Linked DNA regions of Saccharomyces cerevisiae S288C. The gene in region 1 interacts genetically with each later gene. Each region holds a gene or a part of one and is shown in the gene's direction. Other genes may lie near its edges.

The links. Genes that interact genetically often act in the same process or in processes that back each other up.
Region 2: mutations in NAB6 (region 1) and GAS1 are lethal when combined (synthetic lethality), as found in Saccharomyces cerevisiae (4 studies listed by BioGRID, with this or other methods).

What each region holds. Positions count from the first base shown.
Region 1 is NC_001145.3:30,014-40,084, forward strand, and holds NAB6 (Nab6p), read left to right. Parts: upstream 1-4,229; coding exon 4,230-7,634; downstream 7,635-10,071. Other genes in the region: YML119W (uncharacterized protein), read left to right, coding at 598-1,671; NGL3 (3'-5' poly(A) RNA exonuclease), read left to right, coding at 2,321-3,838; ATR1 (borate transporter), read left to right, coding at 8,183-9,811. UniProt on the Saccharomyces cerevisiae protein: RNA-binding protein that associates with mRNAs encoding cell wall proteins.
Region 2 is NC_001145.3:885,462-891,294, forward strand, and holds GAS1 (1,3-beta-glucanosyltransferase GAS1), read left to right. Parts: upstream 1-1,541; coding exon 1,542-3,221; downstream 3,222-5,833. Other genes in the region: FKS3 (putative 1,3-beta-D-glucan synthase), read left to right, coding at 1-1,055; importin PSE1, read right to left, coding at 3,491-5,833.

The sequences.
Region 1 (10,071 bases):
TCAATGCCTTCATATGATTGGTCCGAATGAATAGGTCATGAGAAAATGCATATTTTTGAGGCATTTCAGCAATGATCGGCAATCTGCACATATTCGTATTGTTTCCCTGAGTAAGTTATTTGCGGAAAGAGACATTCTATTGCTTTGGAGTATTTTGTGGTCTTCGACAATAAAGCGAAGGAATAATAGGTTCGTTGCTAGCGACAAGCAACACATAGTTGTAGTGATGCTATAGCAAAGAAAGGTCACAGATTCATTATTGACCTTTTAAATGGTGCCCAGTGGCAATTGCCGTTTTAGCATTCTTTAAATGCGTAGTATATGAGTTTTAAAGTGCTTTGTTGTTCACGTGCTTTTCACGTGTATGATTACTTAACCGGGTAGCGCCGGTCTTTAATATGCTTTCCAGATTAGGAAAGAACATAAATAAAAACACAAAATAAGAAAGTGTCAATCATCCGCATTGAAAGAAAGAAAAGATTTTTTTATCCCTCAATTGTACATGAAAACAGAGACCTTTCAAAACGTATTTTAACATTCTTTTACTCTTTTCTTGCACCTGCAGCCTTAGGTCAGTAAGAAAAAAAGTAGGTAGCAATGAGCCCAAGTCCATCAGTGTCGCCAAGAAGGACGCTCAATAACAAATCATCTTACATCAATAACAGCGGTGGGCTGGTCCTGCCTCCTACGCAGTTTAATTTGAATCAGCAGCCAGTCCTGAGCTTCCAACAAAAAGCGACTTTCGATTCCAACCAGCAGTTTTTCTATTATCCAGAGTCACCCACAAAAAACCTGAGACCAAGGTTTAACAGTATTTCGCAGGTTAATAAAGGAGTTAATGAAGACCATTATACCGGGGGCGGTAGCAGTAATAATAACAGGCCATCTAGATATACAAATACCATGGGCGCTGCAAACACCAATGTAAATTCCCATCCGCATCATCAGTCGGTGTCGCATTTAAATTCTAAATCTCTTAAATTCAATCAAACGAAGGAAGTGAGCAGCATAAATGAAATTATTTTTCCTTCCAGAACGTGTACAAAGAAACGGTATTTTACCAAGCCAATTGATTTGTATGGTACAAGAAGTAGCACTAGTGTGGCACCTAAGTTGACGAATTCTCCCACGAAATCAAAAACAAATTTCAACATCAAGAAGTGCATCTTACCTAGGTCCGTCGTTACCACATATAAATTACCATCTCCAGTGCACGAAACGATAGACGATATATCCAAAAAAATCATAATCCTGCTAATTTCGTTGAAGTTTGAGAAAAACTATCACTTCTTGCAACCTATTCAATTGTCCACAAATAGTAAGACACGGATCTCAAAATCACTAGACGAATTATGCGGAGTGCAGCTGACATCAACGTTACGGCAACAAAAGCAGCTGCAAGGTAACAGCAAGCCCGTAAAGAATCTCCCTAATTCCAATGCGAAGCAGAGAGCCGGGGCCAGTGTTTCCACAAATGCCAACGAAAGCTTTGAATTGAGTTTTGATGGAAAGGCAATGGATAGATCTGATATATTTCGAATGGTAGATTCTTTTAGCATCGCCATTTCAGATGAAGATGAGGAAGATGAGGAGGAGGATAGCTTTCAGCAGAGAAGTGCGAACAACAGAATCCTCCCTGCGGAGATACTAAGTAATGAACCTTTGAAATGATACGGATTCTCTGTATTCTGTCTATAGTATTTATATACCAATACATTTTTCCGCACTTTGAAGTTTTGCATTTTACTTAATGTAGTTTATTATTAGTTGCCAAAACGAAACATTTAACATGTGAATTAAAAATACAAAAAAAAGCCTATTAACGATCTAAATTTATGACAAAAGACATATAATTATTTTAATGATGCCTTTGTCACAACCGAACACAATATCTTTGAAAAGTGATCCAGCAATCGAATTCAGAATTCGTTGTGCCATTTTTGCCTTACGTTTGCGCCATTGTAATTTCTCTGTGCCGTCTTCTCTTCACTTTATTTCAATATTATCATGCAGTAAACAAGTTGCAGAATAATAAATAATATACGTACCAAATATGTGAACAACTCAGATACTATTCATTTGATATGTTAAAAGTCCTGCATTCCTCTCCCGACATTATATATAAAATGCTCAGCCACCCCTTCGTTGCACAGAAAAAAAGGATGACCTATAATACCAATATTCAATCACAATAGTTATACCAAACTAACACATGGTTGAAGCAGACTACTTACTATCGTGGAGTTAGCTCACTGAAAATTTAATATTTACAGCATTAAACAGTTTTTTCTTTTGTTTTGTCTCCTACATTAATTTCAATATGGATAGCCAAGTAGAAGGCAAAATATCCCCCTCACAGAAGGAGTCCTCCTCCACCTCAGGCCTCGTTTCACCTAGTGAAGATGGCCCAGCACATCAAAAAATACACAGAGACCAATTAAGTGTGGATCAAATCAAGAAAATCAGAGAAGAACGTGCTCAGAAGAGACAGGTACGTAGGAACTCTCTAATATCCCAAGGGAAGGACCCTGACTTCCCAACGCCTGACTTACAATTCATTGAAAGACCATTCCTCCCTATCAACCATGATAATTCGAAAGGTCTTACGCCAGCGACCATACAAGTCACCCAAGATTCATTGGACGTTAAAATAATGACCTATAATACTCTAGCACAAACCTTGATTAGGAGAGATTTTTTCCCAGAAAGTGGACCAGCGTTAAAGTGGCATAAGAGATCAAAAGTTTTGGTCCACGAATTGAAAAAGTACAGGCCTGATGTAGTATCGTTGCAGGAGGTCGATTACAATGAACTCAACTTCTGGCAGGAGAATTTCCATAAGTTAGGGTTTGATGTGATTTTCAAAAGGCATGAAGGGAAAACTCATGGACTACTAGTTGCATGGAACAATAAAAAATTCCAGTTAGATAATGATTGGATGCTGGACTACGATAATATATTGGCGGGAAATGTCATTTCAGCAAGAACAAGAACTAAAAATATTGCCCTTATTATATCGCTATATTTCAAGGGTATAACAGATTCATCATCAAGAGGAATTATCGTCGCAAATACACACCTATTTTGGCATCCCTTTGGGGTATTTGAAAGATTAAGGCAATCTTACTTGGTTTTACAAAAGATCCAGGAAATTAAAGCATGTTCCAAATATAATGGCTGGCATAGCCTACTGATGGGTGATTTCAATACCGAACCTGAAGAGCCACCGTACTTGGCCATAACGAAAAGACCACTGATATTAAAAGGCCCAATAAGAGCTATGGTGGAATGCTCACTAGCGTATCGGTATTCAAAAAAAAGGAATGGAGAAGAAAGTGACCAGGATGATGAAGAGTGTGATGAAAAGTCTAGGGGCGAAGGCCATTCAGATCAACCACAAAACCCAAAACCAGAGAGCTTTACAGCCACAAAGGAAGAAAAGGCTCTGGTAAATCAATTAGTTGCGTTGCATAATTCACTACATGTGAAAGGCGTATCTTTGTATGGGATTGGCTACGGTAAAGTGCATCCTGAAAATGCTAACGGAAGCCACGGCGAACCGGGACTCTCAAACTGGGCCAATACATGGTGTGGATTATTAGACTACATATTTTATATCGAGGGTGATCATAATCAGGACACGCGTCAGAAAGAGCCTCTGAATGCTTTTGAAGGAAATAACAACGTAAAAATAATCGGATATCTGAGGATGCCGTGCGCACAAGAAATGCCCAAACACTCCCAACCTTTCGAGGGAGAATATGCTAGTGATCACATTTCCCTAATGTGCCAAATACGCTTGTTTTTTGGGGGGGAGAAAGTGCATAGCTTAAAATAAAGAAACAATATATATAAACAACCTACATTTGTGTTTGAAAGACAGTAATCAACGCTTCGATGGTCACTGGGATTTTTCTTTCAATTTAGCGTCACTTTCACCTTATTCACAGCTTTTACGTGCTATTTTTGGTCACCCTTCCCCTTTCGTTGCGCCTCAACGGGCTAAAAAAAAAAAAATAAAATCAAGCATAGAAACACCACAACAAACCTGCCCTTTTTCCTTGTTTCAGGTTACGTGAAAAGCATCCAGAGAAGATATCCCAAAGACTGAAGAGGTGTAGTTGGCTCATTCACGTCGTTCGTTTATATTATCAAGGAAGGGGTTTTTGATCGGCTCGAACAAGACTCGCAAGAATCCGTTTTCTATTGTTTTTTTTGAGGATTCCAATATGTCAAATTCCAATTCAAAAAAACCTGTTGCGAATTACGCATACCGTCAACAGCAAGATTATAATGGGATGAACGCCATGGTGGGAAATCCAATGATGTATCATCCTGTTGATTTCGTAAACGGTGCCGGCCAATATGGTCCTTCTCAACACCCAGCATATTACACCAACTCACCATTACCTAATATTCCACCAACACCTTTTGATACTGCATACGGTGCCAGTCTTTTTCCATCTCACCTATTGATGGGATCTCCATTTGTTTCCTCGCCTAACATGCAAAGTGGCTATAATTCTGCAAGATCATCTAATCTCAAAAGAAAGGCTTATTCGAGGCCCGTTTCTAATCATAACGGTTACAACGGAAACAGTAACAGTAACCAAAACAATACTAATAACGGAATGGTAACACCCTCGAACTATTATAGAATGGGGAGAAATTCTTTCTCGAGGAACAACAACAGTACGAGGAATGTTACTCACAACAACAATAAGGGGTGCGACACCCGGAACAACAGTGGAAGAAGAACATTCGCAAGGAATAACATTTTCGACGACATACTTCCAGAAATGCTTTTACAAAGACCCTTTTGTATTAATTACAAGGTTCTACCGACTGGTGATGATGCTTATAGAACTAGGTCGCTGCTTATTGAAAATGTGGATCATTCTATTGATTTACACTCTATAGTCAAAAATTTTGTCAAATCCAATACTCTGGAAAGTGCCTACTTAATTGAAGGAGGGAAGAGCGATGATTCAAAAGATGTAGAGACTAAAAATCTATCCATTCTAATAAGCTTTCTAACCAAAGGCGACTGTTTGAACTTTTACAATAACATTTTACAAAGGTTATCTGAATTCAAAACATTTTTGAAATCTGAAGCACTAAATCTGAAATTTGTTTGTCTAAACTATGATCCCAAATGCCTCCCTACCTTTATTGAGAGTGAAGCGTTAACAGAAAACGCTGAAGAAGCCGACATTACCAATGGTTCAACAATGATCAGTGCTTCGCTGCATCATAATATAGCGAACAAAGATGCTACAAGGTCGATTATAATTGAATTCAAAAGCCCCGTGGAGAAAAGCGATTTATTCAAAAAGAAATTACAATTTTTGGACAGGTCAAAAAACAAAAGATACATTTTGGAATCTATCGATTTAGTGAACACAGATGTACCTTCCAATCAATTTCCTGAAAATTACGCCGTTTTAACCTTTTTGAATATCTCTATGGCTATTGAAGTTCTCGATTATTTGAAAAAATACTCCAAAAACTTAGGCATTTCTAAATGTTTTTACGTATCCCTAGCCCCGTTGGTAGTTAGCTCAGCCAGATCTTCGGTTGCTAATATTTACGAGGGTAAAACGAGCACACATCGTTTATCGGTGCCTTCTGTTACTGCTGGGAACAATAACGATAGCAACAACAACGGAAACAATAATAAAAGTAATATGAGTGGTATCACCACACTCAATAATAATAGTAGTATTGGTGTTTCCGTATACGGTCACTCTAATATGAGTTTAACCAGTCTGTCATCATCTGTATCTTTAAATGAAGAGATTGATATGCTTGCGACGAAACTTCAAGGGGTAGAACTTGATGGGACTTATTTAGAAATCAACTATCGCGACTATCAAACACCAACTATTGAAGAACACTCTACTCACTTGAGCAATGTCAAAATTTCAAAGACAACAGAAAACTCTAGGCAATTTTCTCAAGATATCCCATCACCTTTGCCATTAAATGAACATATGTTTATGAATGATTCTAATCAGTCCAATGGAGCGATAATACCTCAACAGTTAATAGCCACACCTTCTCCGGTATCCCCCAATTTGCAAATGAATCAAAGGGTGTTGCCGAATCCAATAACTCAAAGTTTGGAGCAAAATTTCAACGTTTCGGCCAAAGTGGCATCATCCATGGGTTCAGACATAGGCAATAGAACAATTTATATAGGAAACATTAATCCAAGATCAAAGGCGGAGGATATCTGTAATGTCGTGCGTGGAGGAATCCTTCAGAGCATTAAGTACATACCGGAGAAGAAGATATGCTTTGTTACTTTCATCGAAGCTCCATCCGCTGTACAGTTCTATGCAAATTCATTTATTGATCCAATAGTGTTACATGGGAATATGTTGAGAGTTGGATGGGGGCATTATTCTGGTCCATTACCGAAATTAATCTCGTTGGCTGTTACGATCGGGGCAAGTAGGAATGTCTACGTAAGCCTACCAGAGTTTGCATTTAAGGAAAAGTTTATTCACGACCCTCAGTACAAAAAATTGCATGAAACACTATCTTTACCAGATGCGGAACAACTAAGAGAGGACTTTAGTACCTATGGTGATATTGAGCAGATTAACTATTTGAGTGATAGCCATTGCTGTTGGATAAATTTCATGAATATATCTTCTGCGATTAGTCTTGTTGAAGAAATGAATAAGGAATCCACAGTACAAAATGAATCCGGTGAAGTGACGCTTAAAAGGGCGACTGAGGAAAAATTCGGTGGCCGTTATAAGGGCCTTCTGATAAACTACGGCAAAGATCGTTGTGGCAATATAAACAAAAATTTGATAGCAGGTAAAAATTCAAGATTCTATAAGAAAGTTAAAAGACCGAGCTATAATATACGTTTGAGTAAGTTGGAAGAAAAGAGGAGGCAGAATGAAATCGATGAAAAGGAAAAGGCTTTTGATAAACCCTTGAACTTGGAATCCCTAGGAATTAGTCTGGACGCACATAAGGACAACGGCGGTGGTGAAACAGGAACTGCAAATAATACTGGGCATGAAAATGAAAGTGAACTAGAGGCTGAAAATGAAAACGGTAATGAGACTGGAAGTTTCGGTGGACTGGGTCTCGCTGTGGCGAGCTCTGACGTCAAACGTGCGACATCGGATGAAACTGATTATGAAGATATATTTAACAAGTCATCGGGATCTTCCGACTCGTCATCAGACGTCGAGGTCATTATGCACTCCCCGAGCGATCCTGAATACGCTTTAAAATCACAAACTCTAAGAAGCTCGAGTCAGACCGTCATTAATAGTAAGAGACCAGTAAAGATAGAAGACGAGGAAGAAGCCGTAGGAATGTCACAGCTCAATTATAGGTCGTCATTAAGACAAGCTCCTCCAAGAGCTCCCTCAACTTTGTCATATAATCACTCGAAGAACAACGAAACGCCAATGCAAGATATTTTCACAAATGGCGAAACAGCAAATAACAGAAAGAAGAAGAGAGGATCTTTTGCAAGGCATAGAACGATACCAGGATCTGACGTCATGGCCCAATACCTTGCACAAGTGCAACATTCGACATTTATGTATGCAGCCAATATTTTGGGCGCCTCTGCGGAAGACAACACGCATCCTGACGAGTAGTATAGCTGTGCTGAGCCTGAAGTATAATGCATATCCATCGGACTATTTAGACAAAGCCCAAGGAAGCCTAAGGCGGCCTGCCAAGGTGTTTCTCCCTTTTTTTCTCCGATTTCTTTGTATAAACTAAATAATATAGTGATTACTAATGGAATGGCGGTATTATGCACCTAACCTGTTCATTCTGCCACAGATTACGTAAGCGATTTATTGCCGGCACTTGTTGTCTTAATGACCGAGTCACCAATGTGGAACGATAATTTTCTCTGACTCAAACCTGTTAATTTTTTTCTACTTCGTTTCGTTAGCGACGACGTCAAGCCGCAGGATCCTGTCTGCCTTGACCTCTTCTCTACCTTCAGAACTTACACTTTTCAGGTAAGATGACCTTTATATAAAAGTTGACACTATTACAGTTGTTTATAAACGTCTGAAGAATGAGACGTTTTTATAAAATGAATAAAATGCATATTCTAAGTTTAAAACAACATTTTCAAAGTGTACGATTGTAAAAAGAGAGGCAATTAGAGAATCTCAAACAGGTAATAATAATGGGCAATCAGTCATTAGTTGTGCTTACGGAAAGTAAGGGTGAGTATGAGAATGAGACAGAACTACCTGTTAAAAAATCGTCACGAGATAATAATATCGGAGAATCTTTAACAGCAACAGCTTTTACGCAGTCTGAAGATGAAATGGTAGATAGCAATCAGAAATGGCAGAACCCAAACTATTTTAAATATGCATGGCAAGAATATCTTTTTATATTCACATGCATGATAAGTCAGCTTCTAAATCAAGCAGGCACTACACAGACTCTTTCGATCATGAATATTCTTTCGGACAGTTTTGGCTCAGAAGGAAACTCAAAGTCATGGCTGATGGCATCTTTTCCGCTAGTTTCAGGCTCATTTATTTTGATTAGTGGCAGACTAGGTGACATATACGGATTAAAAAAAATGTTGTTAGTAGGATATGTTCTGGTTATTATATGGTCTTTGATTTGTGGGATTACCAAGTATTCTGGTAGCGATACTTTTTTTATTATTAGTAGAGCCTTCCAAGGGCTAGGGATTGCATTTGTTTTACCTAATGTGCTGGGAATAATTGGTAATATATATGTAGGTGGTACTTTTCGTAAAAACATCGTGATTAGTTTTGTTGGTGCGATGGCCCCTATTGGAGCAACTTTAGGTTGTCTTTTTGCAGGACTGATCGGTACCGAGGACCCAAAACAATGGCCATGGGCATTCTACGCGTATAGCATAGCCGCTTTCATTAATTTTGTGCTCTCCATATATGCCATTCCGAGTACTATACCAACAAATATTCATCATTTTTCTATGGATTGGATTGGTTCTGTTTTGGGCGTGATAGGTCTCATTTTATTAAATTTTGTGTGGAACCAAGCTCCTATATCGGGTTGGAACCAGGCTTACATCATCGTAATTTTAATCATTTCTGTGATTTTTCTTGTCGTTTTCATCATTTATGAGATTCGATTTGCCAAGACTCCACTATTGCCGCGCGCAGTTATAAAGGATCGTCATATGATTCAAATTATGCTGGCTTTATTCTTTGGATGGGGCTCTTTTGGCATCTTTACGTTTTATTATTTCCAATTTCAATTAAATATAAGGCAGTACACGGCATTATGGGCTGGTGGAACTTACTTTATGTTTTTAATTTGGGGTATTATTGCCGCCTTACTGGTAGGATTTACTATCAAGAATGTGTCTCCATCAGTGTTTTTGTTCTTTTCTATGGTAGCATTCAATGTGGGCTCAATAATGGCAAGTGTTACACCGGTTCACGAGACATACTTTCGTACTCAGTTAGGAACGATGATAATTTTAAGTTTTGGGATGGATCTTTCATTTCCTGCTTCTTCCATTATCTTTAGTGATAATTTACCGATGGAGTACCAAGGCATGGCTGGGTCATTGGTGAATACTGTTGTCAATTACTCCATGTCCTTGTGTCTCGGTATGGGTGCCACAGTAGAGACACAGGTCAATTCAGACGGAAAGCATCTTTTGAAAGGCTATAGAGGTGCTCAGTACCTTGGGATAGGATTGGCAAGTTTAGCATGCATGATTAGCGGGCTTTACATGGTCGAAAGCTTCATAAAAGGCCGCAGGGCAAGAGCTGCTGCAGAATACGATTGCACTGTGGCTTAGCGGAAAGCGGTTATTAAGGTAAATAGATAGAAATACACCGCTGTCATGCGATTATATAGACATGGGGCATTTAGACACTGAAAGTCTTCATATCTCAACATGCAACTAGTAATAGTACAATTTTTAGTACCCTTTAATCTTTATTGTTCGCTCCCTAATAACGAAGCCTTGAACTGTAACCAGATCCCAGGTTACCCCTTATCCTTAAGAGGTCTTTTATTTACTCTACATAATATATATTTTTCAATCCATTGAAGAGG
Region 2 (5,833 bases), 850 kb from region 1:
GGGCAAACTTTGTCAAGAGTTCTCGATCAAGATTTACGGGCTATAAAAGTAAAACTGTAGATGATATTTCCGAAGATTCAGGCCATGATTCAAAGAAAGCGAGGTTTTGGAACGTCTTCTTTGCAGAACTATTTCTACCTTTCTGTGTGTTCCTCTTCAACTTCACCGCTTTTTCTTTCATTAATGCACAAACAGGGGTCTCTGACTCAACACCAACTAGCGCTGTTTTCCGTTTGTTGCTCGTAACTTTTTTGCCAATCTTTCTTAACTCAATAGTGCTTTTTCTATTATTTTGGGTTTCACTTTTTGTGGTTCCTGGATTGTCATATTGTTGTAAAGACGCAGGTGCCGTGATTGCGTTTATTGCACACACTTTCTCGGTTTTGGTCTATCTTTTAGATTTCGAACTGATGTGGTTCTTACAAGGTTGGAACTTTACCCGTACATTGATACTGCTTATTACGTGCATCAATATGCATCTGATTCTTTTCAAGGTCTTTACGACGATATTCTTGACAAGGGAGTATAAAAACAATAAGGCACATTTGGCATGGTGGAATGGTAAATGGTACAATACGGGCATGGGCTGGTCTATCATTTTACAGCCCATACGAGAATACTTCGTGAAGATTATGGAATCTAGTTATTTTGCAGCAGATTTCTTTCTTGGTCACTTCCTCTTATTTATACAAACGCCCATAATATTGTTACCATTTATCGATTACTGGCATACAATGGTGCTATTTTGGATGAATCCAAGAAGTATTATCGCGCATAAAAGAATTTTGACTCGAAAGCAGAGAGCATTAAGAAGTAGGATAGTTTCAAAATATTTCTCTCTATATTTTGTGATGCTAGGTGTGCTCCTTTTTATGCTCATCGCGCCATTCTTTGCTGGTGATTTCGTATCTAGTCCGCAAGAATTGCTGGAAGGCACCCTTTTCGAAGGAATCTTCCAACCTAACAACCAAAACAACAACGATACTGGTCCAAATGCTCCATCGACAATCCTGACTACAACACCAACTTTACCTACCTTTAGGACTGTCGCATAGGGATAAAAAAAAAAAGTTATTTTGAGTAGCTGATAAAGCGAGCTGGTGCCTATCATAGCCGGCTCAGACTTTTTATGAATTCACAGGCCAGCCCTGGCTATTCTTTTGCGTACTTTTAGTTCGATATATTTTCGCGGCTCGCGTTTTGTTTGCTTCTTATTTTACACTGAGTTTTCGTGCCGCAAACGTGGAGATGGGAAAAAGAAAAGTCGGGAAAATAATGAGAAATTTCTACTTTTGGTATTCCTCATACAGCCTGCGCGGTTTATTAGTAAAATACCCGATAATCCTCGAGGTTTGAAAAACTTTTCCCTCTACTACTGTTGACACGGATTTTTTTATTTAAGAGGAAAAGTCGTGGTTGTTTTCCTCGAACAAATTAGATATCCATAAATAGTTGTGTCGTTTTATTAAGCTATTTCAAAATCAGTTTTTATTTTTAAAGTCTGATAAAACAAAAACAACAAACACAGCTAAATCTCAACAATGTTGTTTAAATCCCTTTCAAAGTTAGCAACCGCTGCTGCTTTTTTTGCTGGCGTCGCAACTGCGGACGATGTTCCAGCGATTGAAGTTGTTGGTAATAAGTTTTTCTACTCCAACAACGGTAGTCAGTTCTACATAAGAGGTGTTGCTTATCAGGCTGATACCGCTAATGAAACTAGCGGATCTACTGTCAACGATCCTTTGGCCAATTATGAGAGTTGTTCCAGAGATATTCCATACCTCAAAAAATTGAACACAAATGTTATCCGTGTCTACGCTATCAATACCACTCTAGATCACTCCGAATGTATGAAGGCTTTGAATGATGCTGACATCTATGTCATCGCTGATTTAGCAGCTCCAGCCACCTCTATCAATAGAGACGATCCAACTTGGACTGTTGACTTGTTCAACAGCTACAAAACCGTTGTTGACACTTTTGCTAATTACACCAACGTTTTGGGTTTCTTCGCCGGTAATGAAGTTACTAACAATTACACCAACACAGATGCATCTGCTTTCGTGAAGGCAGCTATTAGAGACGTCAGACAATACATCAGCGACAAGAACTACAGAAAAATTCCAGTTGGCTACTCTTCCAATGATGACGAAGATACCAGAGTTAAGATGACTGATTATTTCGCTTGTGGTGATGATGATGTTAAGGCTGATTTTTACGGTATTAATATGTATGAATGGTGTGGTAAATCTGACTTCAAAACTTCTGGTTATGCTGATAGAACTGCAGAATTCAAAAACTTATCTATTCCTGTTTTCTTCTCTGAATACGGTTGTAACGAAGTAACACCAAGACTATTTACTGAGGTTGAAGCCTTGTACGGTTCTAATATGACAGATGTCTGGTCTGGTGGTATCGTATACATGTACTTCGAAGAGACTAACAAATACGGTTTAGTTAGCATCGATGGTAATGATGTTAAAACTTTGGATGACTTCAACAACTATTCTTCTGAAATCAACAAAATATCACCAACTTCCGCCAACACAAAGTCTTACAGTGCAACAACAAGTGATGTTGCTTGTCCAGCTACTGGTAAGTACTGGTCCGCTGCAACAGAATTACCACCAACTCCAAACGGAGGCTTGTGTTCATGTATGAATGCAGCCAATAGTTGTGTTGTTTCCGATGACGTTGATTCTGATGATTACGAAACCTTATTTAACTGGATCTGTAATGAAGTCGACTGTAGCGGTATTTCAGCAAACGGTACCGCCGGTAAGTATGGTGCTTACTCTTTCTGTACACCAAAGGAACAGCTATCTTTCGTTATGAATTTGTACTACGAGAAGAGTGGTGGTAGCAAATCTGACTGTAGCTTCAGCGGTTCTGCCACTCTACAAACTGCCACCACGCAAGCTAGTTGCTCCTCCGCTTTGAAAGAGATTGGTAGTATGGGTACCAACTCTGCATCAGGTAGTGTTGATTTGGGTTCCGGAACTGAATCCAGTACTGCCTCTTCTAACGCTTCGGGGTCTTCTTCCAAGTCTAACTCCGGCTCTTCTGGTTCTTCCAGTTCTTCTTCTTCTTCTTCAGCTTCATCTTCATCTTCTAGCAAGAAGAATGCTGCCACCAACGTTAAAGCTAACTTAGCACAAGTGGTCTTTACCTCCATCATTTCCTTATCCATTGCCGCTGGTGTCGGTTTTGCTTTGGTTTAAAAAGCTTCGACACATACATAATAACTCGATAAGGTATGGTATCTTATTTCATTGTGGGGTAGTTTTTACGAAAAAAATGAAAAGTTGTAAGTATAGTATATATTTTTTTTCTATGTAAGTTTTATAAGATTCTATTCGCTATTACCACCGGTAAATTAAAAAGAACACTATTGTTACATTATATGTTTTTAAATCATCAAAAAAGACAATATTCATTTAATATTCCTTATAGAACTACTTAACATTGTTCTTCTTTCTATTAAACGTCTTTATGCAAACCATTTATGTACTTTCTCCATAATATCAGCTGGATATCTATTGAAAATTGCCATAGCATCACTAGAAGGCAAAAATCCCAACAACTTTTTAACTGAACTTATCACCGTTTGGCCTTCCCTTTCGGTCAAACTTCTCTCATTCAAGGCTTGTATGACTGAATCAACTACAGCGGAGATATTAGATTGAGCACACACAATTGGCGAATTATTTTCAATCAATTGACTCAAAAATTGATAGTTGAATGAGGCAGCTTCTTTGTCAGTTATTGTTGGTAACGTTTTGAACCAATTAGCCGTGTACGTGTCTACGTTAGGAATGTTGGAATTGTATGCATAAAGAATTTTGGCGATGGCTGCACTGGCATTCTCTGTTGAAGAACGATTTTCTTCCAGTTTGGAGCCTGGAAAATCGACAATCTGAACAAGTGTATCTAAAGTCGGTATGCAAACGTCAGCATATGTAGATGGAGCGTATTGGGCACAAACACCGATTATATAAGAAGCAGCTTGGCGAATACGAGCGTCAGGAGAAATCAAGCACTCGGTAACCTTTGGAATAAATGCGTTCTTCATGCTAGCAGTTTGTTCGCCACCATATTGAATCAAGTCACCAATCACTACTAATGCAAAAATGACTAAAATTGGTTCATTATCTAAAAGGAATGTGTTTATCATAGGCCATATATTCTCCAAATTCTTTAGATAATGACCATTTGTGGTTTTCAAAACGGCCGCGATAGACTTGTTGATTTCATCGAGAAGATCTTCGTCAGTAAAGTCTTCCTCTTCATCAATATTTTCATTATATTCATCACCATCACCATGGCGATCCTGCATCCTTTCGTAAGTGTCAGTTAAGTTGGCGGAGACACCCTTAGTAAATGCCGCTAATTGGTCTTCGCTTAAGCAATTGTCACCCATGACTTTAATACCATTCACTAACGAGTTGTGATAAACTTGCGTGATTTCTGGCATTGGTTCTGACATTAAGCCTCCGATTAGTTTAGACGAAGCTTTATGCCACAACAATACCAATTCCTCGTTTTGAGTACCGGTGGCTGCAAGTAAACAAGATAATAGAATAGGAATTAAAGTTGCTCCTGCAGCACGAACACCGTCATGTAGGTAAAAGTCAAGCGATGGTAGAGCTATTTCTTCCATTACTTCTTTAACATATACAGCAAATTGGCCTCTTAAAAGTGTCGCATAGCTTTGTAATAGCTCCATTGCTGATACTTTATCGTCAAGGACGGATGTGTGAATAGCAATGTGTTTTCCCTGAACTTGAACAACATCCCAATCTGGATATTGTTGGAAATTTGCTGCTTCTTCTTCTTCAATTAAACCGACGTCTTGCGTTGCTTTGGCAGTAATTAGCAGGGGTGGTATAACAATCGGTAACAACGGAACAAAATCATCACCCAGAATTCGGCAAATCCTGCTCCAACTTTGTTCTAAGTATGATCTGAGCGCATCATCTTCATCGATATCTGAGTTTTGTAAAGCGACCAATATAGAAATCAGCTCTTGAGAGTGCTCATGAAATTTTTCCTTACCAACGGCAAAACCAATCAGAGTTGCACATTCCATACATTTACCTTTCAAAACACTATTATCTTTATTGTTAACCTTCAAAACATTTAATAATAATGGCATTAGAGTATCGTAATACTTGATAAATTTATTCTTTGCAGCTTCAGCAATAAATGCAATGGTTGTTAGGGCCTGTTCCTGTACGTAAAGTTTGTTGCTTTGTAATAAAACTAATAAATTTGTCAATAGACTATCCAAGTAAGGCTCAAGAATATCCTTCGAAGCGAATTCAGAAAAGTTAACCAGAGCCGCTGCGGCGTGCGTTTGAACTCTTGAGGTGCATTCTGACGTTAGTTTAGATATTAAAGCCGGCAAAATTCTATCGTGTGCAGTTCTTTGAATGAATGGTGAAAAATCAGTAGATATTTGACCCAAAACATTACAACATCCATACTGTACTCTTGGATGAGGATCGTTGATGAGGGGAATTACCATATCCAGGATTTTTGGGATCTCGCCGATCAGAACATCAGCACAACCCTCAGCTGCAGAGGAAAGTGCCATCATGGCCGCGAATCTTTCTCTCCATTCGGTTGATGTGATCATTTGCTGTAAATATTGGAACAATGGTGCAGCCAAATATTCACCACCCAGCTTTAAAGCAACACGATCAAGAGCTTGACGAGCGTGGTCATATGTAACTTCCTCTTCATCATCGGTATCGTCAGATTCTATCCATTCTGCTGCATCATCATCATCTATGGATACCTCCGTCATCATGATTAAAGTAACCATCACTAA